Linked DNA regions of Nothobranchius furzeri. The protein of the gene in region 1 purifies or fractionates together with the protein of each later gene. This does not show direct contact. Links are inferred from orthologs where the notes say so. Each region holds a gene or a part of one and is shown on either strand. Other genes may lie near its edges. The genes, in order: proto-oncogene tyrosine-protein kinase Src, pdgfrb and rack1.

Region 1 (10,656 bases):
CCTGTATACTTCACAATGCAAAACTCACCCCAATCTTAAAGATTCTCGCAGGAGAGGAAAATTGGCTCTATACGGTAAAAAAATTGCCTTGTATGTCTGAGATGTGTAAATTCTAGGAAACTCAGCTGAGCATGTGGATGGAAGAGGAGGACAAATTCATAATGTTGCAGAAGCTTGAAGGCGGGAAAGTAATAGAGTGACACAGTGATTGAAAGGGAGCCATAGAGCTTCTGTGGGACAAGTGTGATATGATTGAAGAAGGGGGTTCTGGAAATGCTTCAGGACAGCCAAGTTTTGAGTTTGTGGCTGGACTTGTCAGGTGGACCAAAAAGAAGGGAGATACAATAATCAAGATGCAATGTAATCAGAGTATGGATCAGTAAAGCAATGGGTATAGGACAGGTAGTACAAGTATGGAGGACAGGTACAGTGCTCAGCATAAATGAGTACACCCCACTACATTTGTCAGACAACCTTTAGTTTCCTTTCAGAATCAACATTTTTTATGAGATACCATATACAATTTCTTCTCTAAAAATTTGCATATTGTGATAAAGTTAATTATTTTCTGTAATGTACTGCTAAACATTAGACTTTCATATATATTAGATTCATTACACAACTGAAGTAGTTTGAGCCCTTTATTGTTTTTAATATTGATGATTTTGGCATACAGCTCATGAAAACCCCAAATTCCTGTCTCAAAAAATTAGCATATTTTATCCAACTGATAAAAGAAGTGTTTTAATACAAAAAAATTCAACCTTCAAATAATTATGTTCAGTTATGCACTCAATACTTGGTTGGGAATCCTTTTGCAGAAATGACTGCTTCAATGCCGCGTGGCATGGAGACAATCAGCCTGTGGCACTGCTGAGGCGTTATGGAGGCCCAGGATGCTTCGATAGCGGCCCTCAAGCTCATCCAGAGTGTTGGGTCTTGCGTCTCTCAACTTCCTCTTCACAATATCCCACAGATTCTCTATGGGGTCCAGGTCAGGAGAGTTGGCAGGCCAATTGAGCACAGTAATACTATGGTCAGTAAACCATTTACCAGTGGTTTTGGCACTGTGAGCAGGTGCCAGGTCATGCTGAAAAATGAAATCTTCATCTCCATAAAGCTTTTCAGCAGATGGAAGCATGAAGTGCTCCAAAATCTCCTGATAGCTAGCTGCATTGACCCTGCCCTTGATAAAATACAGTGGACCAACACTAGCAGCTGACATGGCACCCCAGACCATCACTGGCTGTGGGTACTTGACACTGGACTTCAGGCATTTTGGCATTTCCCTCTGCCCAGTCTTCCTCCAGACTCTGGCACCTTGATTTCCGAATGACATGCAAAATTTGCTTTCATCCGAAAAAGGTACTTTGGACCACTGAGCAACAGTCCAGTGCTGCTTCTCTGTAGCCCAGGTCAGGCGCTTCTGCCGCTGTTTCTGGTTCAAAAGTGGCTTGACCTGGGGAATGCGGCACCTGTAGCCCATTTCCTGCACACACCTGTACACGGTGGCTCTGGATGTTTTACTCCAGACTCAGTACACTGCATCTGCAGGTCCCCCAAGGTCTGGAATCGGTCCTTCTTCACAGTCTTCCTAATGGTCCGGTCACCTCTTCTCATTATGCAGCGTTTTCTGCCACACTTTTTCCTTCCCACAGACTTCCCTCTGAGGTGCCTTGATACAGCACTCTGGGAACAGCCTATTCGTTCAGAAATTTCTTTTTGTGTCTTACCCTCTTGCTTGAGGGTGTCAATGATGGCCTTCTGGACAGCAGTCAGGTCGGCAGTCTTACCCATGATTGCGGTTTTGAGGAATGAACCAGGCTGGGAGTTTTTAAAAGCCTCAGGAAACTTTTGCAGGTGTTTAGAGTTAATTAGTTGTTTCAGAGGATTAGGTTAATAGCTCGTTTAGAGAACCTTTTCATGATATGCTAATTTTTTTAGATAGGAATTTTGGGTTTTCGTGAGCTGTATGCCAAAATCATCAATATTAGAAACAATAAAAGGCTTGAACTACTTCAGTTGTATGTAATGAATCTAATATATATGAAAGTCTAATGTTTATCAGTACATTACAGAAAATAATGAACTTTATCACAATATGCTAATTTTTTTTAAAGGACCTGTAGCACTCCCGCAAATGTGGGCCATTGATTGCAAATAAGATTTGTCCATTTCCACACACAAAAAAGGGATTTTGCTAACAAATCCATTCCAGCCCATGTTGCAAAAATGAGTACACCCCAATTATAGTCTTAGGAAAAAAGCCACACTTAAGACTACAAAATTCTAATGAACAGGCATTCAACCACAGGTGAGTCTAATGATTCATTTAAGAGGTGTCCAGCAGACAGGTGACTATCTAAATGCATTACCTAGCAAAGAAAAGCTGTTCCCATTTCATACTGTCAGCAATGGCGCCACATGGAAGAGAAATAACAAAATCTGAGAAAGAAATCATTTCTTTACACAAAAAAGGTGAAGGCTACAAGAAGATCAGCAAAGCTTTACATATCAATCAAAATACTGTAGCAAAATGATCCAAAGTTTAAGAAAGATGGAAGAGCAACCATCTTACAGAGACGTCCAGGCCATCTATACAAGTTAACACTTCGACAGGAGCATCTTCTGATAAGAAGGGTTGAAGAAAATCGCCATGCAAGTTCACTACAGTTAGCTATAGCAGACCGTTTCCTGTGACACCATACGGCGCACACTGCAGAGGAATGGCATGCATGGGTATTGTCCACGAAGGAAGCTCCTCCTAAAGCCCATGCACAAAAAAACACTCCAAGTATTTGCTAGGGCCCATGCTGAAAAAGATTGACTACTGGGACTCCAGACTCTGGAGTGATGAGACAAAGATCAGTTTTTGGAACTAATGGTTTCAAAACTGTGTGCTGTTGTAAAGGTGAGGATTTCAAAGAGAAATGCATGGTGCCTACAGTGAAACACGGTGGTGGCAGTGTCCTTATGTGGGGCTGCATGAGTGCTGCTGGTGTTGGGGTGCTGGTATCATGAACTCAACAATGTACTACTCTATTCTGAAGGAGAAGATGCTGCAATCACTTTTCCAACACTAGCCTAGTGAACTAGACCAAATTCTTGCTTTGCAAAGAATGGTCTAGACACGCTCCATTGGAACCTCAGCAGCTCCTACCAGGACTCTGGCTGGCCAATCACAGCTCTCTAGAGGGGTTTCAAACACATAAAGAGCTGTGATTGGTCCATAATGGTGGGCCAATCATAGTGCTCTATCTGCTTAGTGAACAAATCACAGAGCTTTATCCGCTTTGTGGGCCAATCAGGGCACTCTATATGCCTGGTGGGTGGGATGATGCCACAGAGTGAAACAAGAGTATGTCACATTCATTGTCCAGTGGAATGCGGAGATCATTTGAAAGACAACGGTAGAACCCGCCCCACAACCGAGAGCCGTCAACGGAGCATGGCCAGACTAAATAATACATTTATTTAGTCTGGCTTGCCAGGCTATTCCAACACGACAATGAACCAAAACACACATCTAAAGCTACTGTTGCATTTCTGAAGAAGAACAGGGTGAAGGTGCTTGAATGGCCAAGTATGTCTCCTGATCTGAACCCAATCAAACACCTGTGGAGAATTCTGAAGCAGCAAGTTGAGCCTCAATCTCCATCCAGCATCCAGGCTCTAAACGAGGTTATTCTTGAAGAATAGAAAACGACAGATGTTGCAATATGTCGCCAACTTGTTCATTCCATGCCTAGAAGACTTGGTACTGTCCTTGAAAATCATGGTGGTGTTACAAAATACTAGATGTAGTAGATTTTGTTGGGGGTGTATTCACTTTTTGCTTCAACCAATTTTAGTAAAAGTTTGTGTGATCTATGTTATATTATAAAGCTTCATTTAATTTTAAGGAGTTAGACAAGTGTTCAATAAATCCCAGCCAAAATTCTGGAAATGGTTCTTTTGTTCATTAAGCAACTAATTAAATTCATACTTTTTAAAAGGGGGTGTACTCATTTATGCTGAGCACTGTAGATCTGAGTGTCCTCTATGCTACATCTATGTTGGTATTGAATGTCATCTTTATGGAAAATATTGTCAATTTAAGGAAGAGGTAGATGATAAACAGGAGAGATCCAAGTACAGAGGCAGGGGGAACACCAGAATTAAGGGGAGGATGGTTGAGGTGTAAAGCTTTAATCTGAACCAAAAATAATTTAATTTATGCCTGTCTGCCTGTATCTGTCCTGTCTATATATGTGTGTGTAACCTTGGTCAGGTTGTACTATGGAGTCAAGTTCCTATGCTCTGATCTGATCTGAGCGCTGGCAATAAAATTCATTCTGATTCTGATTATATCTGAAATGTATTTTTAACTAAATCTAGATCATTTTTTACAGAAGAATTCTGTATGTTTTAATTTAACCATTTATTAGGTCTATATTCAGCTTTCTAAACCTCTTTGTTTTACAAAAACCTGCCACAATCTAATTTCCTACCTGACAGCAGTCCTCTGTAGGGTGATATGACACTTCCCGTGTGGTCCACTCCTCCAAAGAGAGACAGTTCAGGGGTATTTGTCGGGGCAAGCTGGCGCTGCCCTTGTTGTCCCCGACGGCCCGTCCCAACAGCAGGGCTTCGATTGGGGGTCTGGGTCTGCTGAGTGGAGTCCAAGTGGTGGAAGCGTCCGCTATCGGAGCCGGTGCCTATGGTCCCGTCCAGGCTCATGGAGCGCTGGCCTGGCTCCTTGGGCTTGCTTTTGCCCGCCCCCATGTGCAGACCTGGAACAAGAGCCAACCATCAGAAAGGATACGGTAAGACCAAAAGCTGCTACAAAAAGTAAAAGCGTCAAAAATCAATTTTTATGCAAATGAAGGGTCTCTCAGCTTTGTTATGCATTTTTCTTTCATTTTAAATGTGTTTTTTTTATAAGAAACACATTTTTTTGTGTTTCATCATGTAATGAAACACAAAAACATTCAGTAAAACTGGATTTCACTGTGGTTAAAATTATTAGTCTTCTTTAAAGCAAAGAAATATGGTTTTAAAGGATTTTCCTCAGGAACTTTTAACATATTTACCCCCCCCCCCCCCCCCCCCCAAAAGTTGGCAAATCAGTCAACACATTTATTCCAGCTCTCCCGATCCACCAGAATATCCCTGGAGCTGTTCCCAGGTCAGTTAGAACTGCTTGCGTTTACAGTAGACACAAACCACACACACAATCAGAATCCAAGGTCGTGCTTAACGGTTTAAATCAAGTTGGAATCAATAAGCATCAACGAGGTAAACAAAGCTGTAAACAGAAAGCAGCCATGGGTCTCAACGACGCAAAGTATTAATGCTGGTGAGCCGACAAGGGCACAGAGGTGTCAAATATATCTGTTACATCCCGATAAACGCAGCGAGTCGAGGGTGTGCTGTCAGTAAGCACAAAGACAAACAAGCTCACAGTCAAGAGCACCCACAGAAAGTTGGAGAGCCTTGTTCGCACACCGGTTCTGTTCCTCCCCTTCAGGCTCTGTGGAGTGACTCACTGGGAGACCAGCTATTTCAGGCCAGCTGAAACAAGACAGTCATACACACATGAAACACAGTCTTGTTCCTCTGAATTAAAGCACTCTCGATTCCAGACAAGAGCGCGCCAAAGTGCATAGGGGTGGGTGTGTGTGTTCATGTGCATTAGCAGCTGTTCCCTCGCATCTAGGAAACTAGGCTCAGCTGCACACTAGCACCCAAGTACAGTTGTGTCTCACATCCTTTTTTCCTTTCCAACACTTGATAGTTTCCAACACACACCGACAGACAGACAGACAGGACAGGACAGGGGAGGTTATTAACAGACACGGAGGAAGGAAACTGGCTGTGGCTTTAAAAAGAACGTGTGGGTGGTTGTTATGTACTGCCCGGACAGCTGAGGCTTAGTGGGTGTTTAAAGTGTGATGTGTGAGCATAACATAATTACACAGGTATGGGAATTCTCAGAGACATGGCAGCATCCCACTGAGAAGACATGTGGGCGACTCAGCTTCTGAGGGAGCGTGAATGTGCACAAATGTCAACGTGGGGGTGGGGGTCAGGGGTCAGCTTTCGCATTAGGCATTAAGAACTAAGTCAACACTATTAAGAACTAAGTCAACACTGGTTTAAAACTTACCAGAGGCACACGTGCCACACCTAGACTGCCAATACAAGCAAATAGGTAGGATGCTCATGCATATCAGGAATGTATGCAAAAATCCTCTTAAAGGTCATTTCAGGCTGTGTATGAGCGCAGGGCTAGATAATAGCACCTCATACAGAGAGCTAAGAAAGTAGGAAAAATACTATGATTTAGACTGATTACTATGTTGCTTCATCAGTATGCGTCTGCACTGTCAGTGGGTGGTGCCTACCTAAAGTGAGCTCACTTTAAAGGGCCTAAACACAAAAAACATGAAAGGATCAAGAACAGACGAGAAATTCTCAGCAGATACAGATGTTGCAACATCTAGTGGGACATGAGAAGCAACAACAAGTTCTTCCAAGGCTGTAAATAACCTCTGATGACAAAAGAACATGTTTGCTTTTACATCCATGTTCACCTGAAAGCCTGCGTGCAAATGAGCTCCTAAACATGACACATGAGTCACCGTTTACTCAAGCATGACAACCACTCAGATTGATCTGGAAACAGGCAAGGATACATTCCTGAAATGTTTTTTCCCAGTATGCATCAAAGCCAAACTGGATGATCTAGATGAGGGGTGGAACAGCAGCAGGGTGAGAGCTCAAGCTAGCTTGGGCTCGAAACAGACACATTAAACTGACCCAGGGGTCTCTAACCAGCGGCTCTGGAGCCACAAGTGGCTCTCTGGACCTTCCATAATGGTTCTTAATAACTATGACTACAAATGAGAGAAATACAACTGACCCATGTTCATAAAAACAATTTTAAAAAATGCAGATTTAAGTTGTTTTCAGTTTTTTTTATGGAATTGAAGTTCCACAGCAACAGCACTAAAAATACCAGAAGTATTTTTATATCTGTGTTTTATTTGTTTCATTTCCAACAAATCTCAACATGCCATGAAAAAAAAATATCCAAACTCCTTTTGCAAAAGTGTTTGTTTCAAGAAATGATCTCTAGAGTAGACACTAGCAGAAGAGAAACAAAGATCTCAGACTTTATTCTCAGAAAAACCTCAGAATCCTGACTTCTGAACTATTATGTTTGTTGATCACTTTGTCTTAGAGCTTGAATAAGATAAGCAGAAAAATTAAAAGGCTGCATTGATGCTGGACACGTTGTGAATTTTGGTTCATTTTTTTTCTCTTAGCTTTACAACCATGGTGCTCCTAACTATGGATGGAGGGAAACAAAAAAAAAGGGAGTAAAACCATCTACATAAATATATGGACAATGGGTTTCCATAGGCTTCAATAACAAGTTTTTCTGCTAAAATGGGAGGTAGCCACCACCGCCATTTTGACTGTGTCAAAGGTTCCGTCAAGCCCAGACAATTCCATAAAAGGGAAGAGAGGAGGAGCTGAGGGTGACGTTTAGACAGATGTTTGTGCAACTTAAGAAAGACAAAAGAAGCTACTGCTCATCTGTACTCCGTTTGGAGACAGACTTCCAGTTTGTAAACAGCAGCATTAGAAGCCCTAGGCTACGACTTCTGTTGAGTGCCGATTTGGTACATTTGTTTTTGTTTTGCCGCTGCGATCTGAGATGCGCAGAGCTGCCGCTGGGGAGAACCGGGTGCAAAGGTTACCATCTCAGAGCTCCACAAGCCGGCAGCCCGCGCAGCAGACAGAAGCCGCGATCAGACAGAGATGTGCCGAGCTGCGGGGAGAAGTGGCGTATTTTGGCGGTTCTGGCTTGCCATAAGAACCAGCCGTCAGCCCGCGCAGCTAACAGAAGCCGCGATCAGACAGAGATGGACCGGGCTGTGGGGAAGGGATAAGGGTGGAAAACATCGGTCTCCCAAGAGCTCCACAAGCCGATAGTCGGAACCCAGCTCCACCAACATGTTATATTTCAACCCATTTTCTAAAGTGCAGCATTATGTTAAATGCACTGGGTTTTACCCTATTACATTTAAATTTCATGGTTAAACAGTACATGTTAAAATCTAAGCTCAACTCGGCAGTGACCCAAAATACATGAATATAATTTTACTTACCGAAAAAAATGAAGTGGAGACTCCTTGGACGCTCTTTTAGTGCAATTAATGCCACAGCAAGTCATTTTGTCCAACAATTGCACAAAAAATATCCAAAAAAGAATACACACACACAGAGACTCAAAATCCCGGAACAGTTTCCAAGCCAGACGGAGGCTCTACTGAGGCCTTTCCACGGAGCTAGCTCTATGGTCACGTGTGTCGGATGCTCAATTATACAGAATTTTAGGCTTTTAATACACTTAAACAGAAGAGTGAGAAAAAATTCACCCCCCTCATAGTTGTCATGAGTGTAAACTAGATAATTTAAACCAAAAACATGTTTTGGTACCAGGCTGTAAACATGTTTATTTCTGCTGTGAAAATGGTATTTTTAACATGGGAGTCAATGAGGATTTGCTTGTTTCTGACACCAGCCCCCAGCGGATGAGGGTGGAACTGCAATTTATTTCACTTCCGGGTTGGACTCAATTTCAGAGCTGCATTGTGGGGGCCTGAGTAAAACACAATTTAGGTAAAATTTGTAAAAAAAAACATCCCATTATTAGTGTTGTTTCATGGCTCGAGCAATCTGTTCGTCTTTGGAGAGAACTGATGGTTACAAACCAACTAGAATTTGGGAAAACACTGGAATATATCTTCTCCTTAAGCAACGAGGTGCAACAAGCTGAAATAAACAGATTCTGATTCACAAACCTAAGCAGGAAACTTTGATAATCACTATGTTCAAGCTGGTGATGAAGACTCTAGGACGATGACGATACAGCGTGCACTGGTTCAATTATTTACTCTGGTTCTTTCCCAGATGCTGCATTCATCTGAGATGAATGTTTCAGCACCAACATGTTTAGACAGACCTGAAAGCCTCACACCTTTTCCTAATATGGAGTCAGAGAGGTGTAATGCCAATGTGAGCTAACTCCAGCGTTTCGTTGTGAAATGAGTGATGATGGTGATGTTTTAGCACTGGAAAGAGTAAACACATGAGGTAAATAGTAACATAAAAGCACAGTCTTTTAAATGAGGTTTAAAGGTGTGTGACACTCATTTAAGCAATGCATTCGCAGTGGTCACTAGTAGGAATGAATGCCTTGCAAGTTGTACTCTAGGAGGGAAACTAACTAACTAACTAGCAGAATGCCACATCAGAGGAAAACTTAACACAGCAGGATTTGGTGTCTTATTTCCTGACATTCGTACATCTCGCCTCTGATTGGATAACAGCAATGCGACTCTACCACTGTTTGCTCTGCGGCACGGATGTCTCATCTCCACCAATAACACAAGCCTGAAGGAGTTCTGCAATGTGGTGGAGTTGGTTTTGCTAACGATTAGCAGAGACATAAATGCTTAAATTGCAACCTTCCCCGTCGTGAGTCAAGATGGGTGAGTCCATGAATGTTAAGTGACAGTGTGAAGTTGATCTGTCAGAATTTTCTCTGTCTACTTTCTATCAGAAGTGAATGCAGGAGACTGGTGTAGGAGACTATTTTCATGTTCAGCCTGTTTGTTAAACTCAGAGTGACCGATTATGATCAGAAATAATCATTAAAAAATGTTTTTTATTGTGAAACGCCTTTAAAAAGATGGAAAATAATAAAATAAAATAAGTTTTGGTTTCTGTGTTGATGCAAACATAAAAATAGGAGAACAGAGGAATGTGGGAGAATTAAACCGCATCTCGCCACTTCGCTGTGCCAGCTAATGTAACAAGAACAGGCACCTGAGCAGCAGGAGGGCAGGACGAGAGGAAGGAAGTAGAGAGAGAGAGGAGAAAAAAAGAGACCACAGTGTGTGTGTGGCAATAGAGAGGGTGGATGCAAAACACACTCCTGTAGCTTTGGTTGCCTTGAGCCATCATTAAAGTATACATGTAAGGCATGCACGCTTAAAAAAGTTGTTTGAGTTACATTTCAAACATATATATTTTTTAATTACTCGTTCTGTTAATAACCTTCCAACGTTCAGGAGCATTTCTGTATCCATTACTGCCCCGTGCCTAGCTCTCCGTCTCCATGTTGACGAACCCGACGACCCGCTTCTGTACAGGAACTGAATACCGAGTGTCAAGAAGAGAAATAAAGTGGAGAAAAGAGTAAAAACAAAGAGGCCAGAGCCCTGAGAGGAATGCAGGCAAGTCTCGGCACATATTAGCTTCAGGAGCAAGGGTAATATTTTCCTGACTTGTCCATGTAAAACAAATTGATTCTGTTGAGTTTTCAAAGCTGCCTTGAAATATTTTAGTATTGATATGTACAAAATATTAGATGTTGGGCAACAGGCGGACGATAAAACAAACCTATCTGCAACAAATGACAGACATCAGTTTCCTCTTTAAAGCCTTGATCCGTAACAGTTAAAAATCTGCTCTTAGATATAAACCCATAAGTAGGGATGCTTGATATTGGCTTTTTGGCCGATGTTGCCAACTCTTTATCTCCGATGCCGACATAAATTGATACAGATATAGATTGTGTCCCCCTCATAAAAAACTAAG
Region 2 (10,656 bases), on another chromosome or scaffold:
AGGATGATGATGGACAAGATAATGATTACCACTAAGGCTAAAACAGCAGCCAACACTGCCACCTGGGAGAACAAGGCTGCCACAGACACCAGAGACAGAAAAGATCACTACATTTGAAAAACTTTATGTTTGTGCATCAGTCAGCTCTGCATCCGTCTGTCTGTGGTTTACGGAGAATTAACCAATTAAGGGGGTCAAAAACTATTAACCAAATGTAAACACAAGATTACACATTTTCTTTAAAACGTAGCTGATCTGATATCTGTGGTACAAACATGATAGCCTTTATATATATTGTACATAGACAGATTTTACTGACAAAAACGTATCTGAAGATGGAAAGTTTTAGCCCAACATCAAAGAGTCAATTAAAAATGCCACCAGGGGCTGAATATTCAGCTTAGAAACACATGTATAAACGTATTATAAAAATGCATTTCCTAATCTTCAGGTGTTCCTTATCTAAGTGTAAATGACACATAAAAGGTCTGACATCTTGTGGCACTTACTGCTGGACACCAGTTTGACATCCCTCCTGCTGACCAGTCCGGCTCGGTTGGTGGTCTCACAGCGAACGGTGAAGTGCTGAGGCTTGAGGAAGACCATCTTGCTGCGCACCTGGATGATTTTATGAGTCTCATTGTAGCTGGCGTTGGTCTGGATGCTCAGCTCCTCCGGTCGCGGGGTCAGCGGCTGCCACACAGCAGACTGGTTGTTGCACCTGAAGCGGGACACCGGGTGAGATGGGAACAGCTGCAGCAGCAGTGGAGCCCTCTTGTGTTCTCAGGGGGTGTGTGACTCACTTCAGCATGCTGTCACAGCTGTACCACTGTATGATGGGAGCTGGAAACCCCTCTGCTACACAGGTCACTAAGTGTCCCTGCCCTGGGAGGTGGTGGTCTGTCAGGTCTTTAATCTGAGCTGGAACTGCAAACATGGAGGCGGAGGCTTTAATCATGACTGAGTTTGCCTTCAAACGCTACTTTAAAAACATGTTTGTGGAGAAAAAAAACAACAAAAATGTGTCAAATATTTAAACATTCTAGAGTTTGTGAGAACTTTTTCACACCTTGGACCTCCAAGTCAAAGACAACCTGCTTCGTGTCGTCTCCGTTGGTAACGAGGACAGCGTAGAGGCCTTTCTGCTCCGCCCTCACCCTCACCAAGGTGAGAATGGTGAGATACCTGAGGCAAAAGCCAAATGAACAAGCTGTCAGGAAAATAAAAACAATCATCGATCTTTCAGGAGTTTCTTGGGTTTGATTAGATTAACTTCTGTCTGGAGCTAAATGTCCACAGGTTCAACGTTTTGTTAGAACCTCCATCAGAGAGGCTCTCAGGGACTACGGAAAAACGTCTCTTATGGGAATGTTTAGATAAAAATTTGAAATATGGTATGTTGTTTTCCAATCATTTCTAACATGAATGATTAACCTACATGAATAATTTGTAAAAATTAGAAAAAATAAAAGAAAAAATAAAAGAAAAAAGAAAGAAGAAAAACACCATTAATAGGACAAACACGTCTCAATAATCAAACATGATCTTCTGACGATTTCAGCCAAAAGCAGAACTGTTGGACAGGAACTTTTCTGATTTACTGATTGATTCGAGGCTTTTCAACAATGAACTTTTAAAATCCCATTTAATTCGATCGTTTTGGTTGAAAAGGCAAGAGCCCAGGCTTTGTTGAGCGTTTGAGGGTCATTAGGGAGTTGTGATAGGTATTTAGTGTTTATGGTTCCTGTGCGCTGAAAGATGGCTTCCTTCCCTCTGGAGAGGATTGGATTTCTCTCTGTGGAGGTCTCATCTGGTGGTGACGGACAGATCGCCTCTGGAGGCTCCTGGACTGTCCAAAGTTTTTGATAATTCTTTAAATATAAGGAGGCATTTAGATGAGCTGTTCCACCTTATTTCATGCTCTTGTCTGGAGAGGATGGCTGTGTCTCCCTTGATGGCGGTGCCGTCTTTGGTCCAGAGAATCTGAGGAGGAGGGTAGGCCTCGATGTCCACCCTCAGCTCCACGTTCTCCTGGAGCTTGGCTGAGATCCTCTGATGCTGCATGGGCTTCATGTCCACAAAACCGTGTTCTGAGAAGAAAACAAGCCTTTGTAAAGCATTTTCTATTTAATCTTTTAAGTATTTCTTGCATGTCTGTTTTTCTATTCTAGTCAGAAACATGCAAACAGTGCACGTCTGCAGGAATGAACCACTGCTCACGTGTAGTGCATCTGTGTTTAAATTAAAACATTTAGCAAACTGGGAATGTGCTTTAGTGAGGGCATTTCTTCTGTTTCAGCTCTGAAATATGTTCCATAGTCACAAAATCATCTACATTTGCTGGTTTTATATAAATGTTTTATGAAACTTTTGTTATTTGCAGTATGTTTTCTTTCTTATTTCATCCAGTAACTGTAATTCTAAACCTGCCAGTGAGCTTAAAGTTGGCATAACAACACGACAACCTACAAATAGTTAATTTTAATGTATTTTAAATAAAATTAGAAAAAGATGTTGATTTATTTATCTGAGTGATATCTTAGCTGACATCAGCAACAATCAGATAATCAGAATATTTATATTGAGTTGCAGGATAAGCTTTCCTTTAGAGTTGTGGTATTTTTTGTGCATGCACAGGCCCTTCTCAAAAAAATTAGCATATTGTGATAAAGTTCGTTATTTTCTGTAATGTACTGATAAACATTAGACTTTCATATATATTAGATTCACTACACACAACTGAAGTAGTCCAAGCCTTTTATTGTTTCTAATATTGATGATTTTAGCATACAGCTCATGAAAACCCAAAATTCCCATCTCAAAAAATTAGCACATCATGAAAAGGTTCTCTAAACGAGCTATTAACCTAATCATCTGAATCAACTAATTAACTCTAAACACCTGCAAAAGATTCCTGAGGCTTTTAAAAACTCCCAGCCTGGTTCATTACTCAAAACCGCAATCATGGGTAAGACTGCCGACCTGAATGCTGTCCAGAAGGCCATCATTGACACCCTCAAGCAAGAGGGTAAGACACAGAAAGAACTTTCTGAATGAATCGGCTGTTCCCAGAGTGCTGTATCAAGGCACCTCAGTGGGAAGGAAAAAGTGTGGCAGAAAACGCTGCACAACACGAAGAGGTGACCGTCCGGACCCTGAGGAAGATTGTGGAGAAGGACCGATTCCAGACCTTAGGGGACCTGCGGAAGCAGTGGACTGAGTCTGGAGTAGAAACATCCAGAGCCACCGTGTACAGGCGTGTGCAGGAGATGGGCTAAGGTGCCGCATTCCCCAAGCCCCCAGGAAAGTGTTTATCCTCTCAGGTTCTGTTCACTTCTTCTGGCCAGAAATGTTGTGAGAAGAAAACAGTGGAGAATTTTTTGTTGAGTCTGACCAAAATTATTCCCACAATCTTCTCTTAACGAGCGGGATGTGATATGCCTAATAAAAACATTTAATATGTGTGTAATGCTTTTATATATGCAAAGTTTGACATTAATCAAACTCATCTGGCCTCCGCGTTGGGTGGCAGACCTGTCTATTAGACAAAACTAACAACAACCCTGGTCTCCTGTTTCCATCCAACATGGAGGTTTGAGTTATTTAAAGGTCTTTTAAAACATAACACACCTCGCTGCAGATGGAGTAAGCAAACACACCCCCAACGTGCATGCAGGGGTGGACGTAGCACGAGAAAAAACAAGTTCAGTCAGAGGAATCCTGTTTTTATTGGCTCCAAGTCCTGTGTTGTAAATTTATATGAGTTTCTGTTTAAAGAAAATTCCCAGAAACACAAACACATCCTCACCTAAAGTCTAAATATAGAGCTGCTGCTCCCTCTGATTTGCAGGTGTGAGCTTCAAGGTAATCACTCGGGGGTTTCACGCTGGGGCCGAAGTTTATTTGACATAATCCGCAGAAACAAATTAAACGGGTTTTCATTTCCTCTAAACAGCCCTTCTCCTGCTTTAATATCCCAGTGTTAACATAAGAGTCGGTCAGCCAAACCCAATAATAATCTTCAGAGAATCAGTTTGTTTTAGCTGTGTGTGTTTGTGTGTGTGTGTGTGTGTGTGTGTGCGCGCGTGTGTGTGTGTGTGTGTGTCTAACCGAGCACGGTGATGTGGATGCTGGCAGAAGCTGTGTGTCCTACAACACTTTCAATGACGTGGCATTCGTACGTGCCGCTATGAGCTACGGTGACTTGAGGGAAGAGGAGCCAGGAGCGCATGATGGCGATGGGCAGGTACTCCATCTGAGGCTCAACCTCCATGAGCTAAAGGAGAGAGGGAAACCAGAAGGATCAAATTTACACAAGTTAGCTTTGTGGGGTCATTTTTAATCTGTAAAATAGTTTTAGGTGCAATCTTTGTTTGAATCCTGCGTTAGCAATAAAGTTTAATTGTTTAATTTGCCTTTTAACAGATGATTTCAACAGTGAATAAAAAACACAAGGTTCCCCTATAACAGACATCGGAAGAAACAGGTCACTCTCCACTCCTGATGTTGTGAAAGCATTTACACAGCAGGATCGAGGTGTGTCTTCACATCTTGATGCACTTTGGGTTTGGTCAGGAGGCCGCACAGGGATCACAAAAACAACAACACAAGGAGAAAGCTGAAACAAAAGCTCTTGTTCTGCTCCGCTCCCACTCACCTCCCTGTTGGGAAAATCCCATGAAAAATCTGCCAGCTCCACTCCGTGCACTGTGCAGTTTATAGTCAGCGCTTCGCCCTGCTTCAGCACCGTCTTTGTGGCGTTGATGTAGGGGTCGATGGTCTTGGGGACTGGAAGGAGAGACGAGGGTGACGGAGAGGAGGGGAGAGCATGGATTTAACAAATCACAGGGGCAACAAGCTGACCTCAGTCATCATTAATCAGCTAATTGCACAAAAGCAAACGTTAAAAACAACATTTGAATCTAACAAGTCAGAGCTACATTTGACCTTTGACCTCTTTGGTTCAATCTCTTTAAAAGTACTACAACATAATAAATAGCGATTGTCACAAAGGAAATAACTCTGGTACTAAATCTTGCCGTTTCTTCTCTTATGAGTTATTTCTTTTGGGTTTTTGGGCTCAGACTGAATAAATCTGAACTGTCTGACCTGGAAACTTACCAGTAATGCTGAAGACGTTAAAATTCTGAGACTCTCTCAGTTCCCCGTTCAGTTCTCCCCGACACACGTACATCCTGTCCTCAAGCGCCACCTTGAACCCCTCTCCAGGAACATACAGGCCTCTGATTGGCCGGCCGCTGTCCTGTTGGTGGAGCGTGACGGTGATGTTTGGGTTGGTGACCACACAGGGGATGGTGCTTTCCTCACTGGTCTTTGCTACCGCGCCGTGGTGACTGATGAACCACACCTCAGGATCTGCAGCGAGACGTGAGTTTGCTCATTAGCTGTCAGAAAGCATTTAGGAATATTAAGATATTACAAGCAGAACTCACCAGGGACAAACACAACCGCCTCTTTGGTTTCCCCTGTGATCACATCAGTGCACTGGTACACACCAGTGTGCCTCCAGCTCACACTCCGCAGAGTCAGAACACTGGACGTCAGATTTTTCTGCGCAATTTTGTAAATCTGTCGTCCGTATTCATCTCCCTCTCTTAGACGCTGACTCAGATCGTCTGTCTTAAACGCCCAGGTTGCCTCCCTGGATCCGGAGCAGGTTAGGCTGAGAGTGGAGCCTCGATTCAGGACGAACGCTTTGCCATCAGGTTTGATCTCCAGGCTGCTAACTTCAGCGCAGAAAAGCACCAAAGCTGCAGTTTACGCAACAAAATAGGAGGTCAGCATGGAGGGGCTCAAATACATGGTGCAACGAGTTCAGAGGTCAAGTCAACAGTGTAAGTCAGATCCTGGTCTATCTCCACCCGGTGATGGATACAAGCTGTCTGGAGCAGATGAGTAGGAGGATGAGGACGGCTATTCAGTGACAGATGGATTAAAAATCATTCAGAATGCGTCATTTATCCTTCACATCAAAGCGTTTGTTTTCTCACAGCTGATCTACAGTCTATGTGCTGAGGTCAAAATTCAGCTCATCAAATTACACTTTAAATACTTTTCCATTAATTAAAGGAAATAATCTGTGATTATAAAATATGTGATTAAAATGTATGTATTGTTTCACTGTCTGTTTAATTTGAGAATAAACATTAAAGGGGACATATTATGCAACTTTTGTGCTGCCATGTGGGTCTCTGTCACCTCTATAAACACTCCAAACGTAGAAATAGCCCGTTCATCCATTTTCTCAGTGTTTGGTTTTAGCAACTATGTGCTAAATCAAGCTGTTTCAAAAAGTCTCTGTGTGTGAAATCAGAAATAGCAAAAGTAGTGGAACGTAAGTTAACGAACAACGCTCAAAGAGAATAAGAAAATAAAATATGAGGGAGAAGATGTGCGGTTACATGTTTTTTTTTCCGGGAAAGACAACTCTACACACGCTCAACCTATTTAATCTGAATGAATGCTTGGTGTAAGTATACTCACGGCATGATCGGATAATTTCAGTTAGTGTCCATATGAACAGAGATTTGAGATTTCCGATCAACCTAGATTTGAATCGGATTGGGGAAACTTGGAGCACGTAAACGTAGCTATACACCCATTCACACGCTGGTGGGGATGAGCTACGATGTAGCCACAGCTGCCCTGAGGACCACTGACAAGGGCGAGGCCTGCCGAACACAGGCGCCATCTATTCTCTGACCACCACCAGCACACAAGGCGGGTTAAGCTTCTTCGCCAAGGACACAACGGCAGCAATCTCTGGTGAGAGTCGGAATCGAACCTGCTACCTTCCAATTAATGGACAACCCGCTCTTCCTCCTGAGCTACTGCTGCCCCTACGAAATAAAGTGAAAGCGCCCTGAAACGGCTCATTCTGGAAGGTTCTGAAAACGTCAAGAATAAACAGCTGAGTTAGCTTTATGTGAGAGGGATTTTATGCAAAAAAACTCAATAAACTTATTTTTATTGACCACAGAACTATTTAAAATTTATGAAAAAGGTAATAATATGTCCCCTTTAACTGCATTAATTTGCCTTAAAAGTACTGAAAACAGGTCTTGCTCTCCTGCAAGACAAACCCCTCATTTTCACTTGTTGCTAGATTGGATTGTAACCCTCACCTGTGAATGTAACTGTCCGCTGGAGCACGGATGCTGTCACCCTCCTCATTGTGGCTGCCTGATGACCACCTTGTTCTGCAAACAGAAATCAGAGAAATCCCACGAGTCATTTTGGTAAATTACTGACCCTCACGCTGTAAATGATTGCTAAAACGCAGGTCGTGTGACATTAAGTCAAAACTGGTAACAGATGTCAGTCAAAGTGAGCAAAACAAAAGAAGAAACATATTTTTGCCCACTGAAAATAAAACAAAACACCCTAAATGACAGACCTGGTGTTTCTTGAAGGAGGTATAATTGATAATTGGTAAAAGCTTGAAAACAATCCTACATGTAATCTCATGCTACATCTCACACAGTCGGTGTCTATTATGAATGACTCTCAGCTACTTCCACACCAAGTTCACACCTGTAACTACAAAGCTGATGGAGTTGTAGCCATTTTTGCATGAGCCATGGTTGTGCAGCTGCGCTGGTGGCCTCTCTCAGCAGTAGATGGATGATCAGCAAATACTTTCTGATAGTTTCACTAAAATCCATCCAGTGGTTCAAGAGACATTTTGTTAAGATCACAAATCATTTGCCAAAGAAAGCTGCTCGCTTTCTGTCTCAGCGCAGATGCAGCTGAGCTCTGGTGGTATTTGATGCCTCGCTGCACCGGGACACAGCAACAATGTCCCACGTCTTTGTGTTGCTGGTTCACCACCACTCTGCCCACTAACAAACGGGTCACTGTGTGCAGCTTTACAGCACGCTCACTGGCAACAATGCTGCGTCCAAGCTATTCTCCGGCCACGCTGAGCCATTAATTGGCTTTTGGGGTAAACAAAAAGTGAAAACTAAGGCATTCACTCTGACAGGAGGGCAATTCTGAAAGGTTGCCATGGGTTTTGCAAGACTTCTCATGTGCGCTGATGCAAATACAAAAGCTAAGAGGACCTGATTCAGTGGAGTTCGTCACCATCTCATCTCTGACTTTAACTACTAACTTCATGGTGGTGCAGAGGCCAGAGGAGATGGAAGAGGAGGGGTTTGTTGTTATATTTGGAGGGGGGGGGGGGGGGGGGTTCGGCCTGAAACATGCAGACGTCTGGAAACAGTTAAGGATGGATCACAGGCCTGTACACAAGTGGGTGGGAAAGAAAGAGGGTGGAAGAGTGAGTCTTGAGAAGAGCGCGGGTGGAGGAGGAAGAGCGTGAGCCAGTGGAAAATAAATTGTGAAATGTTTCTCGAGAAATATTTCCCAATTTAACGTTTCACGTTTTTTCTTACCTCATACTTCTATTTTAGGATTCAGGACTATTTTAGTGCATTTATGTAATAAATCAGACAGTTTTAAATGTGGTCAGCATCTTAACCCAGATCTGACTGCTGAACAGTCTCTAAAGCTCCACTTTTTAGGAGGTGTTAAATAATTTCATGGCTTTGTCGTCAGATATGAAACTGTGAAAGACATCTTGGGAGTAAAGTCGGTTATTCAAACCAGACCTCCCTAAATTAACTGCCTTTGGCACTTCCGCTCCCAAATCGAAGAGCTCAAAGGTTCTGAGCAGCTCCAAAAACAAGAGTGGTCCATTTCCTCCCCCGCCTCCTGGTTCTAATAACGAGAGGTGACGCGGAGACAGATGAATCCTGAGCAGGAACTTTTATTTTCACTGCGATGTCGATGTTGATGCAAACCTAAACATTCTCACTGAGAGATAATCCATTCTGCTCACACACACATCACAGCCCACATACCCCCTTCTCAACACACACACAGACACAAACACACACACACACACACACACACACACACACACACACACACACACACACACACACACACACACACACACACACACACACACACACACACACACACACACACACACCTCTCCTTCCCTTTCTGTCACTGATCTCAGAGTACAGTTCACGTTCCCACAGTTTTAATCTGAAACTTTCCCAGGACCGCCGATACACTCGGGACTTTGCTGGTGATGACGGCCAGAGCAGAGGGGTCACCTCATCCCTGGGGGCCCCGGCAGCGAGTCACCCGGGCCCGTTCAGCGAGGAAGCCATTCATCAGCGCTCAGCTAAAGACTGTATCCTCAGTGTCAGTGAGGAGGACAACAGAATTCGATGGGGCTGAAGGCAAAAGTTGTTTGGCATCATGAACGCTAACCAATCATAAGTTAAGTTGTATTTTGGATGAAGAATGTGCTCTGACAAGAGGATTACATCTAAGACTAAAGGGTTAAAAATAAATTCTTATCTGACAAAATTCTGAAACTCTGAAATGAACGGAAAAATTATGTTTAGCTTCTGCAACATGAAGGTTCATGTTGACCAATGGACAGTGTGTGTGGTGGTGGTGGTGGTGGGGGGGGGGGGTGGGGGGTGGGGGGGGGGGGGTTCGCAGAAGGCTTTGAAGATAAATTTCACCTAAAACTTGAGCTTTCATGAATTATACGATAAATACAGCTAGAAAAACAACGTGGTAACACTTTACAATAGGGCTTCATTAATTAATGTTACTTAGTACATTATTAGACATTAATAAACTATTAACTAAAGTACTGACAACTGCTTAATATTAATGTAAATATGAAGTAATGTATTACTGAGCAGCCCTCCCACTGGCCCTTTGTCCTAGCCTCAAGGACGCAAATAGTTAACAATATTAGGAATGTTAATGAAGGGATCTTTTGTTTATTAATGCTTAATAATGCACTAAGTGATGTTAAAAAATGGACCCATATTGTATATTGTTACCAATAATGCTTTTAGGCTAAATCACTAAAGTATCATAGCTTAATTTTTTTAATGAACTAAGCCAATGGTGTCCAGTTCACTGTCCTGCATGTTTCAGTTGTTTCCTGACTGAGTGGTGGGAGTGGTCATCAAGTTCTGCAGAAGCCTGCTAATCACCCATTAAGATTAGGATTTAGGTTAGGTGTGCTGAAGTAATCCTTAAAACACGCAGACTGGTGGATTGGACACTACTGGTGTAATTACAAAATATTAGGTTTTGACGTGTATAAATGCTATATGATGTGTGAAGGAAACATCATTGAAAATGGCTCACTTTGGTTACTATGGTAACCACACACCTATGGGCCCTGCTCTCTCTACCCCCCAACACTAATCCAGATATTATTAAAAACTGACTTTTTAAGTTACTCAGTTTGTATCATCTGTTTACAAAAGGCCAGAGCTGGAGGGATACTTGAGTGTTGTTGGTGAAGATACTTTCATAAACAGGAAAGAGTATCTGTAGTTTTTAGGACAGGGCCTTAAAGTTAGAGGTGGACAGAGACGGTAAAGAGAAGAAAGTTAGTCCTAAACAAACAGTGACTATCAAAGCTAATGGTTTTGCTAATGCTCTAAGACGAGATCAAGAGTGGACCAGGCCTTCTCAGTGATGGCACCAGTCCTTTGGAACGAGCTCCCTCTGGCAGGCTCCATCTTCTCAGGTGTTTAATGGCAGTTTCACATCTGGGCCAGCACGGCCCAGGCTGAGTAGCATATA
Region 3 (10,756 bases), on another chromosome or scaffold:
AAGATCAAGTTTTGCTGTATTTCAGTGTCAGACGGTAGTTATCTGTTGCATATCTTCATATGTGTTTATTTCTTTTACAGATTCTATCAGCTCCTTTTTAAAATGTTGGTTTATTGAAGTACGTTCATGGCACAGTGTCTGATTGGAGTTTCACATTGTAACAGATCTTAATACAACAGTATTAGCTAAACTTTGTGTGAATGTTTTTACTTTTGGTTGTGTTCATTGGTTGTAAAAGATTTAAGCTATTTTTGTAATTACTTGTCCAAATATAAATATATATGTGAAATAAGTAAAACAAAAAATCTGGTCCGTAAACATGCAGACAAAAATAAACTTTAAAGTGTTATGGTTTCATTTTATCATGCTAATGTGTCTTTTCCTTTTTGGTCGTGAGGGCAGCTTGAGCAGAGTTCTGTCTGTGTAGGTTTATCTAATTCCATTATTTTGTTCTTTTCCAAACACAGTGATAGATATTTGTTATTTACCTTTTTACAGACAGGTTTAGGCTACATCTGTAGCCGTTTTCATCATTGGTGACGCTCTGAAGAAGGCTACAGATGTAGCCCAAACTTGTCACCAAGAAGGTAAATAACATTTCTAATACTCAGTGTTCAGAAAAGAACCAAAGATGGAATTGGCTGAGCTCTCACTTCGGCATAAGAAACCGCTACAATGCCCACATCACTTTAGATGCAACACCAATCCTATTGATCGCCCACTACATTTTCCCTCACTCATTAGGAGAAGGCATTCTACCCTTTTCTGACTCAAGACCATGGTCTATGATTTCCAGGTGGGATTCTCATTCCGGCTGCTTCAAACTCACCTGTGGCCGAGATCACGGTCTGATGAAGCCAACAGGAACACATTATCTATAAAATGCAGAGAACTGATCCTTGGGCCACCAAAACAGATCCCCTCAACACCTTGGCTGTGCCTAGAAATCCAGTCCATAGATGTTAGGAGCAGAATCTGTGACAAAGGGTAGCCTTTGGACAGAGTCCAACTCATGGGAATGAGCCCAACTTACTGCAGAGTCCGATAAATTTTAGTGGCTGGGCTGCAAAGTGAAACAGCAGTCCACGGGGGGCGCTCATTACTGGCCTCCATCCAGGCACGAATGGATGCAATATCTGCATCAACATCCTGGGCCTGGCTCAAGTCCCCCATGGTCCAACCATGAAACAAAGGAACACATGTACCTTCTCAGTCTGCTTTACAACACGTGAATCAGTGGGAATGTTCTGATGTATTGTGTCTGTATGTGTGGAAGTGTTTTGGTCTAGACTCTAGAATATTTGTGTTGGGTGTAGGGGTGCTTTGACTTACCCCCACTGGACAGACTGTTGTGTCAGCCCGCCGGTCGCTCTTCCACCCCCACTGGACTCAGCAACAGAAATCTCCCATCAGAATCCAAGCTGCACTGGAATGCCAAATGTGTAGATGGGTTCGGAAGTTTGCATAGGCTAGACAGGTGGCATGGTCTTCTGGAAAGACTATCAGCATTTGTGTGCACCCGACCCGGGTGATGAACGATCTCAAAGTCATATTTGGCAAGCTTCTCAAGCCAACGAGCTAACTGTCCTTCGGGCTCTTTCATCTCTGTAAGCCAATGCAGGCTTCCATGGTCTGTGCACACCTTAACCCTGTGGAGGCAGGCGTTGCTGATTTGCAATGTTAAAACCTACCTACCTGATGCTCCACATACATATTTCATGAGCATTTTTTAACTTAGAAGTACCCCTGAAGGACTTAGTTGTTCGTCCTTTTATCAAAACTTATTTTGAGCCTGAGAGGGTTAAAGGGCTGCCCCAGGAGATACTGGCGGAAATGGGAAGTGAAATCCACAATGGCCAGCAATTGACTAGTAATTAAAATTGCGCCCACATTTTCTAAGTTAACACACATCTCTTTTAACAATGGTAGTTTTTGCATCTTTACAGTTCCCCTGCTTCAGAAGTTGAGGGCTTCCAGGAGCTCCCTCTAGCTCACCCATATTTCGAATGTTGCGTATAGCACAAGTTTGTCACGTGAGTTGCTGAATCCTAGCAGACAGTTGCCTTTCAAAATAAAATAGTTCCCGGATCTTGTTCCAGCAAGATCTGGCTCAAATTAAGCCCTGTCTACAAGTCTACAAAACACGTAGATTGGTTGGATGAACTCCTGTGCACCCTCTATGACCCTGCTAAGGGTATAGAGCTGGTCTAGTGTTCCACAGACCAGGAGAATATCACATTTTCCTCCTAAATCTGATTGATTATCCAGGGGACCTTTGTCTCTGGATCCTTTGAAGAGACTTTGCCTGCTAAGCTCAGGAGTGTTTTCCCCCTGTGGTTGGAGCACACCATCCAGTACCTCTTTATAAATAGGGGGATCATCACCCCAGTCTGTCAATCCAGTGGAACTGCCCCCAGTATCCACAATATTTACTGTGCCGCATCAACCAACACAGTCCCACAACATCCAGCGCCTTGAGGAACTCCAGGCGAATCTCACCCACCACTGGAGCCCTACCACTAAGGAGTCTCTTAACCACTTTGGTTGCCTCAGCACTAGAGACTTGATAGCCCAAACCCCCAGAATTCACTTCCTAAATGGAAGATGTGCCAGTGGAATTGAGGAGGTATTTAAAGTACTCTTTCCACTGACTCACAACATCCCAAGTGGAGGTCAGCAGTACACCATCCCCACCATAAACAGTGTTGGTGGTGCAGCTGTGTCACCCTCCTGAGACATCAAATGGTGGACCAGAATCTTCTCAAAGTATGAAACTCCTCCATGGCCTCATCAAACTCCTTCCAGCAGGTATTTTCTTCCTCCACCACCTGAACCACACTTCACTTGGTATCTGGTGCCTCAGACCAAAAGACTCAACAGGCACATACTACTCTGTGGCCGTAGCTCTAGTCAGCTGTTTCAACTTTTATTTTAGTAAAATAAAGCAAATGACTAAAGAAGTTTGAAAATGACATGTTTTAGAAAGTAAAACGTCATCTGCTAGGATGATCAAGTCTTACAGTGAGAGGAGGCTTACCATACAATTTTTTTCTAAGCACACAACACTGTTACCAATATTCTCACTTCAGCCTAATGTAACAGTGTTGAAATAGTGTAGCTGTGCAGTAGTTTACATATAGAAATATCAGATTATTCATAAAACATACCAGTAGAAAGCCTGGAAATTGAAGGATTCCAAATGTTGTTCAACATGTGAGATAAAACATTAATTATTTTGTAGCGTGGCATCATTGTCTTGTCTGTAATTGGCCTTTTTTTATTAGGTTATATGTTTTTATGGTTGTTTTATATTGTCTTATTTGTACTTGTTGCCTGCTGTATTGTCCAGCACCTTGGGTGTTTGATGAGATTGTGGAAGGGACATTACAATCTTCTGTGCATTCATTCTGGGTCTTTTTAACTTGTATTTTTTTTTTGGTTCTCTTTTAAACACAGGAAAGAAAAGTTTTCTTCTCTGTGTTTAAAAAAGAACCAATAAATAAATAAATAAATAAATACAAGAGACTTTACAAATAAAGTGAAATGAAATGAAAATTCAAATTTTAAAGATTGTTTGTTAATCAGTACACAAGTATAGAGCAGGCATGTATGTGGCCCTCATTTGTCGCCCTTGGAGCAATTTATGTCACTGTCGTCCCCCCCCCCCCCCCCCCCAACATTGTATGTTCAAACTTAATAGTCCATTTTGACAAATTTTAGGGAGTACAAATGCAAGAATAAATATTTTTAGCATTTAAAAAATGTATATGTTGTGGCCTACAAGGACAGTTAACTTGCTGATTTTGGCTCTTATCTAGGAAAGTTTGGACATCCCTGGTATAAAATATATCAAGGCGTCAACTTTAAAGCCGCCTTTCACATGAAAAGAAACAAATATTATGGGATTAAAGCTCGTGTGTGTGTGTGTGTGTGTGTGTGTGTGTGTGTGTGTGTGTGTGTGTGTGTGTGTGTGTGTGTGTGTGTGTGTGTGTGTGTAACATAAAGTATAAAAAATACGGACGTTTGTAAAATATAGAATATTCTAAAATCAGAAAATTTGTGTCCATCACAGACATTTTATTTTACTGGTGCTATGTTTCGTAAGAGCTTAATTTCCTTTATTCATTCAGACAGAAACATATCAGGGATGTGCACAGCTGTTACCAATAACCAAATCAGTGTGTATTACTTATATATAATGGTGATGTGTTGTAAGTGAAATGTTTTATCATGTTTCTAAACAGTCCCCTTCAGTCTTTTCTTGTAGCACACTTGGATGACTTGGGGAAAAAAACATATCCCAGAATGCTCTGCGAGCCCTTCACCCCTCTTAGTTTTTGCATCCGGGTCTGTACTTCCTTTTCCTCCGTGCCTAGATGCGATGAGGACCTAGGTTTTTACGAACCTGAGAAATATCCGAATCCATCCTTGTAAAAGGCACCACCGAACCTCGTCAAAATGACCGAGCAGATGACAGTGAGGGGGACCCTGAAGGGCCACAGTGGATGGGTCACCCAGATCGCCACTACCCCTCAGTATCCCGACATGATTCTGTCGGCGTCCCGAGGTGAGGCTTCCCCCGCCGGCAGCCGCCAACATGGCTACAGCTAGCTTTGTAAGCTAGCAGTGACTCTTTGGTAATGTTACAAAAATACGATTTTTGCGGAAGTGGCAGAAGACCGCTGAAATGTGATTACAACAGCCTAAAGGCTCATTAATCGCTTATAGTGAACATTTGCGACTTCAGAAGTGGAGGAAACCTGGTGTAGTTAAACTTGTGCTTTCTAGCGTCATTAGCTGGATCTACTGTGTTTCACTCCTGGGTTTACACCAACATAGCACCGACACTGATTCATCCAGTTAAACATCAGACTACTTGACATGAGGTTATAAGGCCTTGAACCAAGCGCTGCAATGTGATATTAACTTGATATTAACTTAAGTGCTAGCTTCGCATGCTAATGCTACCTACCTGCTCTTTGCTTTAGGCAATACTCCTGAGTCCTGAACCTTATGTGTTAAACTTTCAGACAAGTCCATCATCATGTGGAAGCTGACTCGTGACGAGACCAACTATGGGATCCCTCAGCGCTCTCTGAGGGGCCACTCTCACTTTGTAAGTGATGTTGTCATCTCCTCGGATGGACAGTTTGCTCTCTCAGGCGCCTGGGACGGCTCCCTCCGACTGTGGGACCTCACCACGTAAGTACAGCTAGGAAGAAAGCTTCTACATCAGATCCGCTGTCCTGTAAATATATCTCTTTACCCGTTTACCTGCTCCCAACATATTTAAATGTGTGAGAGCATCTAGAGAAGTCAACTTAGGAAGGTTGTGATGAAATCAGTTAATCTGGGTCCTTTAGAGCAGGAAACGTGTGGAACTTGCAGGATGGTACCCCTCAAGGAAAAAAGTTGCTGACCCTTGATCTGCATCATCTAAGCATCTATGTGGAACACAGTTTAAACTAGTTAATGCTTTTCTTTTTAGAAATAAGTAAGTTGGTAAAGACTTGCATGTTTGTATTAGCTGGAAGTATGTCCTTTCTAAATTTAAGTTGTAACAAACATCCTGGATAGTTTTAAAGATATGATTTGTCACCTTTGTTCTATAAATGAAAATGTGTTTGAACCGATGTTAACACACAGTCCGCGCTAATGCGTATTTGTTACTAGAGCTACAAACATTTCAGCACTTATGACCTCTAAATACCAAGTTGCCAGGGAACATAACTTAAGCCATAAAACAGTTGGGAAATGACATCTAGTTAAGCTACACCATGTGTAAACCCAATCTTGGTGAACAAACTTCATTTGCGTGTACATGACCGTGCAACAGCTTTTTATACTAGTGTTTTGTACCACAGATAGAACTTCAGTAATCTCGCACTAAATAATAAACAGCAGACATTTAAAAATGCAGTTATATACAATTACAATGTTTGTCAGAGATCCTATAAAATAAATTCTCCCAGTTTCTTGTACCCGACACTGTTGTTCCACAGTGTTATTGTCCTTACTACACCTTCATCACTTTATACACTCCTTAGTTGTGACTTAAGAGAACAGTAGATCTAAATAAATGGGTTTGGGGTTTATACAGGAATAAAACTACAGTCCATGTTTGAACAGTTTTAATCATCTAAGTGAGGAGCTGGAATTTGATTCTGGCTAAAGTGCTGGAACCCGATATAAACTGAACCTAAAAAAAATTGTCATTGATCGGCATTAAGGTTTGTGTACTAAAGTGATTTGTTTGAATACAAGTGGGGAAAAAAACTGTTTTAACTCCTTAAATGACTGTAGCTTGTAGAGGCCATAATTAGTAGAGGAGGGCAGGCATTTTAAACTGTAAACTTAATATAGCTTTATTCTAATCGGACGTCTTAATCTTGTGTTTTTCTAGTGGCACCACCACCCGTCAGTTTGTTGGACACACAAAGGATGTTTTGAGTGTGGCTTTCTCTGCTGATAACCGTCAGATTGTATCTGGCTCCCGAGACAAGACCATCAAGCTGTGGAACACTCTTGGAGTCTGCAAGTACACCATTCAGGTGAGCTGTCACTTAATGCTGCTGCTGCTGCTGCTTAGAGCTGTTCCTTCTTTGGTTTTCATTTAGTTTTTGTTCAAGCTTTTTTTTTTTTTTTTAACTAGTTTTACATTTTCTGAGGTAGAGCACACAGCTCAGCCATCAGCTGGAGCATTGTGGACTAAATCTGTATGATGGTTTTAAGTGTGTAGTGTGTCAGGATCATGGAATAAGTCTCGGTGGTTACATGAGCTAAAGTGAGCCATTGTTGGGATGAGCTGAACTTTAAACTGTTCAAACTTGATTTTGCAGGATGAAGGCCATTCTGAGTGGGTGTCTTGTGTTCGCTTCTCCCCCAACAGCAGCAACCCCATCATTGTCTCCTGTGGCTGGGACAAGGTGGTCAAGGTATGGTTTACTAGTAATTTGCTAATGTTTGGTCCTGGTTAGATGGTTTAACTTAGTTTGCATTTATTAGCTGACTACTTGCGTAAGACAACCTTTTTTATGATTAGCTTCCATGTTGGATGTTGATGTTTGTTCTGTCTCGGGTGTGATGCCTCTCAGGTGTGGAACCTGGCCAACTGCAAGCTGAAGACCAACCACATTGGTCACACTGGCTATTTGAACACAGTGACCGTCTCCCCTGATGGCTCTCTGTGTGCATCTGGTGGAAAGGTAACATCTGCTTCCAGTAATTGTAGATTTCTGTAAAATGTTCTTTTTTAGAATCTTTAAGTGAACGGACAAGTTTTTGCAATGATGGAAAATTAATCATACATCTGTTTTAAAATGATGACAATAGAGGCTGTTTCTGAGCACGACTTGAACTTGTCACGATCCCCGTTTGTGGGGTTGGGTATCGTGTTAAGAGCTGCGATGTAATCACTGAAGAATGTTTTCTGTTGGTGTTCAGGATGGCCAGGCCATGCTGTGGGACCTGAATGAAGGCAAGCACCTGTACACCCTGGATAGTGGTGACACCATCAACGCCCTTTGTTTCAGCCCCAACCGTTATTGGCTCTGTGCCGCCACCGGCCCCAGCATCAAGATCTGGGTAAGATGTTAAGCTAAACATGTTATCAAGGAGGACTGTGATGAAATTTAAAATGTTAGCTGTATTGTTTGATGATATCAGAGGCTGTTTCTGAGCTCCGACCCAATAGAGAATGTCAATAAATTCAGGTATGTTACTTATTACCTTGGTTAGAGATACCATCACTCTGGTTCTCTTTTACCTCATTCAGGATCTGGAGGGCAAGATCATTGTGGATGAACTGAAACAGGAAGTGATCAGCACGAACAGCAAGGCAGAACCGCCACAGTGTACTTCCCTGGCGTGGTCTGCTGATGGACAGGTACGACACTCTCTGGAGGACCTTTAAATGCAGATTTCTGTTGTGACCCCTGTGATTATACCCATTCACTTTTAACTCTGATTAATTCTGCTGACAGTCCTGCAAATATGAGGGGCACCAGAGAACCACTCACATGATTGAGCCTTTTTGAAAAGCGTGCTATTATGGATGCTAACTTCTGTTCCTCTTTTACTCAACAGACCTTGTTTGCTGGCTACACTGACAACCTGATCAGAGTGTGGCAGGTCACCATTGGAACACGATAAGAACAGCCTTGCTAATGCAGCTTTGAATAAAGAGACTCTTTGAAAATAAAATGTTTTGATCTTGTATTTAATTTTGACTGTTAAATTGTTTTTTATCAAAAGGGAACATCGATCACATCGATTTAAAAAAATCTGCTGAAACAATGATCAACAGTAACGTGAAAAAATGATTGAAAAATTAGGGAAAACTAAGTTTCTGTATTTATTTATTTTACTTATTTTGCCTTTATTTAACCAGGTTGGTCCCATTGAGATACAAGATCTCTTTTGCAAGGGAGACCTGGCCAAGACGGACAGAGCAGCAGCACAAGTTACAAAATTAATACATTCACATTTAAATACATTTCCACATAAACTCAATTAAAACAAACACACTGATGGTCTGGATTCCAGTGACCTAATCAGTCAAATCCACTCAAGGAAACCAAATCCTTGATTTTTAGATCTTTTTGTAGTGAATTCCATGTTGATGGAGCAGCAAAGCTAAAAGCCGACTTTCCCAGCTCTGCGAACCTTAGGAACAACAAATTGCAAAAGTTCACTTGAGCGGAGATTGAACTGATTCTGCTGTGAGGATGGAAACATCCCTATCAGCTTGGACCAGTTTTTATTAAGTGAAATGGGATTTAAAGTCTGAAACATTTCTATTTTTTAACACTGTTCAAATAACTGCTTGTACATTAAATCTTGGCTGCTAATCTGAAATGGAATACAGAATTAAAATTACACAAAAAAAAAACCATGGGACAACCGGTCATTAAAATTTTGATTTAACTGGTGGTTTTCTAAATCTGGGGCTTGTAATTTGGAAAGTTCAACTGACGTTTGCAATTCGCATGGATTGTCCTACTTCAGACGCCGTAATTGTATCCTAGCAACTAGTCGACAGAACGAGCCCAGAGTGCTGCTCCAGGTTGGAGTTCCTTGTTTAGTTTACTGCTACATAGTCAAGTTTTGCGTGAGCCGTATTTCGTGGCCATTTAGCGTTCAGATGAAGATGGATCGTAAAAGGCCATATCACCGTGTCATCGTAGAGAAAACGCTGGCCGTCATTAAGCCAGACGCGTTTCAGCTGGCAGATGAGATTGAGAATGTTATCGTCAAATCTGGCTTCAGTATACTTCAGGTGAGTGGAAGTCACCTACTTTCTAGAGGCGCGTTTTCAATATTTGTGGAAGGAAGATATTTTTATTAAAATAGATTTATTTAGATGCCCGATAAACGCTGATTTCCATTGATCATCCTACGATCTGGTTTCAAATATTACGCTTCATGGCTTCAAAAGGTGACCGCTTTTTGAGGCCGTGTGGCTCTTACGTAGTTTTTTCAGTAGAGGGCAGTAACGGGCTGTAATTTTACTGGAAACCCTATTAAGACACCTTTTAAACGTTTAAAGGTGAATGTCTGCATGGTGTTTCTGTACATCTTTTTTCTTTCTTTTTTTTTTTTTTTTTTTTTTTTTTACTAATTGCACTTCAAAGATACTTATTGCTGTTAACTGAAACATGTCAACCATTTGATCTAGGAATGTGTGGATGTTAAATACTACAGATTACTTATATTTTTTGACTGAAATTTCACATTCACTCTTGACCATGACCTGTCAGTAATTTGCATAGACAAGTTAGTGGAAGACCTAAAACAGTGAACTGTAATGTGTGCAGCTACACACCAAATAATATACATGGGGGTGGAAGACACCCTCCTCTACCTGCAGCACTGGGTATATGTCGATGGTGCTGGCTCACCTCAAAATGCAAAAAAGCAATCTCAAGTGCTTTTAACACCATACAGCCGTGTCTACTGCAGCAGAAGATGAGGGGTGCAGGAGTGGTTGAACATCTGACTGCATGGACCATCAACTATCACCAACTGGCTACAGTACGTGAGGCTGCACAACTATATGTCTGATGTGTTTGTGTGCAGTACTGGAGCTCCACAGGGTATGGTGCTCTCACCCTTTCTATTCACCTTCTATACCTTGGACTTCAGCTACAAAACCAGCAACTGTCACCTCCAGAAGTTCTCAGATGACTCAACCACTGTCGGCTGTGTGTCTGAGGGGAATGACCTGGAGTACAGGTCAGTCACAATGGACTTTGTGGACCGGTGTGAATGTAACCACCTTCGTTGGGGTGCAGGCAGCTCTGACCAAGACTGGAAGCTCGCTTCTGGGCTGCCAACTAGTTTCAGTTGAGGAGACATGTGAATGGAGGATGGTGGGCAAAAGGACCTCCCATTTTGGAAAACCCCTCCCACCTATTGCATTCCACTGTGGAGGCCATGGACAGCTCCTTCAGAGGCAGACTGAGACATTCAAGATGTAAAACAGAAAGCTGCTGTAGGTTATTCATCCCCTCAGCAGTAAGAGTGTAAAACTCCTGAGATCAACTGGTACTGGCATTATCCTGTTACACAATAACATCTGTGCAATATTTAGTATGAGTTCAATACTTGTGCAATACCTGATGTACATCAGCATGTCTGTGTCCCTTGTGCTGCATAGTTCTGGAATCCAAGTTTTTCTTTTTTTATTTGTGGTTTTTAGTTGTTGAAGCTAACAATAATACCTTTGTGTATTTACCTGTGATCTTCTTCTTCTTCC

Evidence for each region.
Region 2: the proteins of proto-oncogene tyrosine-protein kinase Src (region 1) and pdgfrb purify together in Homo sapiens (affinity purification with western blotting; 4 studies listed by BioGRID and IntAct, with this or other methods). This does not show direct contact. The link is inferred for Nothobranchius furzeri from reciprocal best matches to the Homo sapiens genes SRC and PDGFRB.
Region 3: the proteins of proto-oncogene tyrosine-protein kinase Src (region 1) and rack1 purify together in Homo sapiens (affinity purification with western blotting; 4 studies listed by BioGRID, with this or other methods). This does not show direct contact. The link is inferred for Nothobranchius furzeri from reciprocal best matches to the Homo sapiens genes SRC and RACK1.

Annotation. Positions count from the first base shown.
Region 1 is NC_091743.1:58,646,058-58,656,713, reverse strand, and holds part of proto-oncogene tyrosine-protein kinase Src, read right to left. Parts: intron 5,554-10,656; exon of another isoform or gene 5,460-5,553; intron 4,773-5,459; 5' UTR 4,765-4,772; coding exon 4,491-4,764; intron 1-4,490. UniProt on the Homo sapiens protein: Non-receptor protein tyrosine kinase which is activated following engagement of many different classes of cellular receptors including immune response receptors, integrins and other adhesion receptors, receptor protein tyrosine kinases, G protein-coupled receptors as well as cytokine receptors.
Region 2 is NC_091741.1:96,097,117-96,107,772, forward strand, and holds part of pdgfrb (platelet-derived growth factor receptor beta), read right to left. Parts: intron 7,221-10,656; 5' UTR 7,195-7,220; coding exon 7,146-7,194; intron 5,772-7,145; coding exon 5,454-5,771; intron 5,377-5,453; coding exon 5,122-5,376; intron 4,789-5,121; coding exon 4,658-4,788; intron 4,277-4,657; coding exon 4,111-4,276; intron 2,091-4,110; coding exon 1,910-2,090; intron 1,186-1,909; coding exon 1,070-1,185; intron 928-1,069; coding exon 804-927; intron 722-803; coding exon 510-721; intron 77-509; coding exon 1-76. UniProt on the Homo sapiens protein: Tyrosine-protein kinase that acts as a cell-surface receptor for homodimeric PDGFB and PDGFD and for heterodimers formed by PDGFA and PDGFB, and plays an essential role in the regulation of embryonic development, cell proliferation, survival, differentiation, chemotaxis and migration.
Region 3 is NC_091741.1:97,228,888-97,239,643, reverse strand, and holds rack1 (small ribosomal subunit protein RACK1), read left to right. Parts: upstream 1-4,346; 5' UTR 4,347-4,458; coding exon 4,459-4,567; intron 4,568-5,030; coding exon 5,031-5,202; intron 5,203-6,403; coding exon 6,404-6,551; intron 6,552-6,839; coding exon 6,840-6,935; intron 6,936-7,094; coding exon 7,095-7,205; intron 7,206-7,443; coding exon 7,444-7,584; intron 7,585-7,774; coding exon 7,775-7,885; intron 7,886-8,085; coding exon 8,086-8,151; 3' UTR 8,152-8,202; downstream 8,203-10,756. Other genes in the region: nme5 (nucleoside diphosphate kinase homolog 5), read left to right, coding at 9,143-9,277. UniProt on the Homo sapiens protein: Scaffolding protein involved in the recruitment, assembly and/or regulation of a variety of signaling molecules. Interacts with a wide variety of proteins and plays a role in many cellular processes.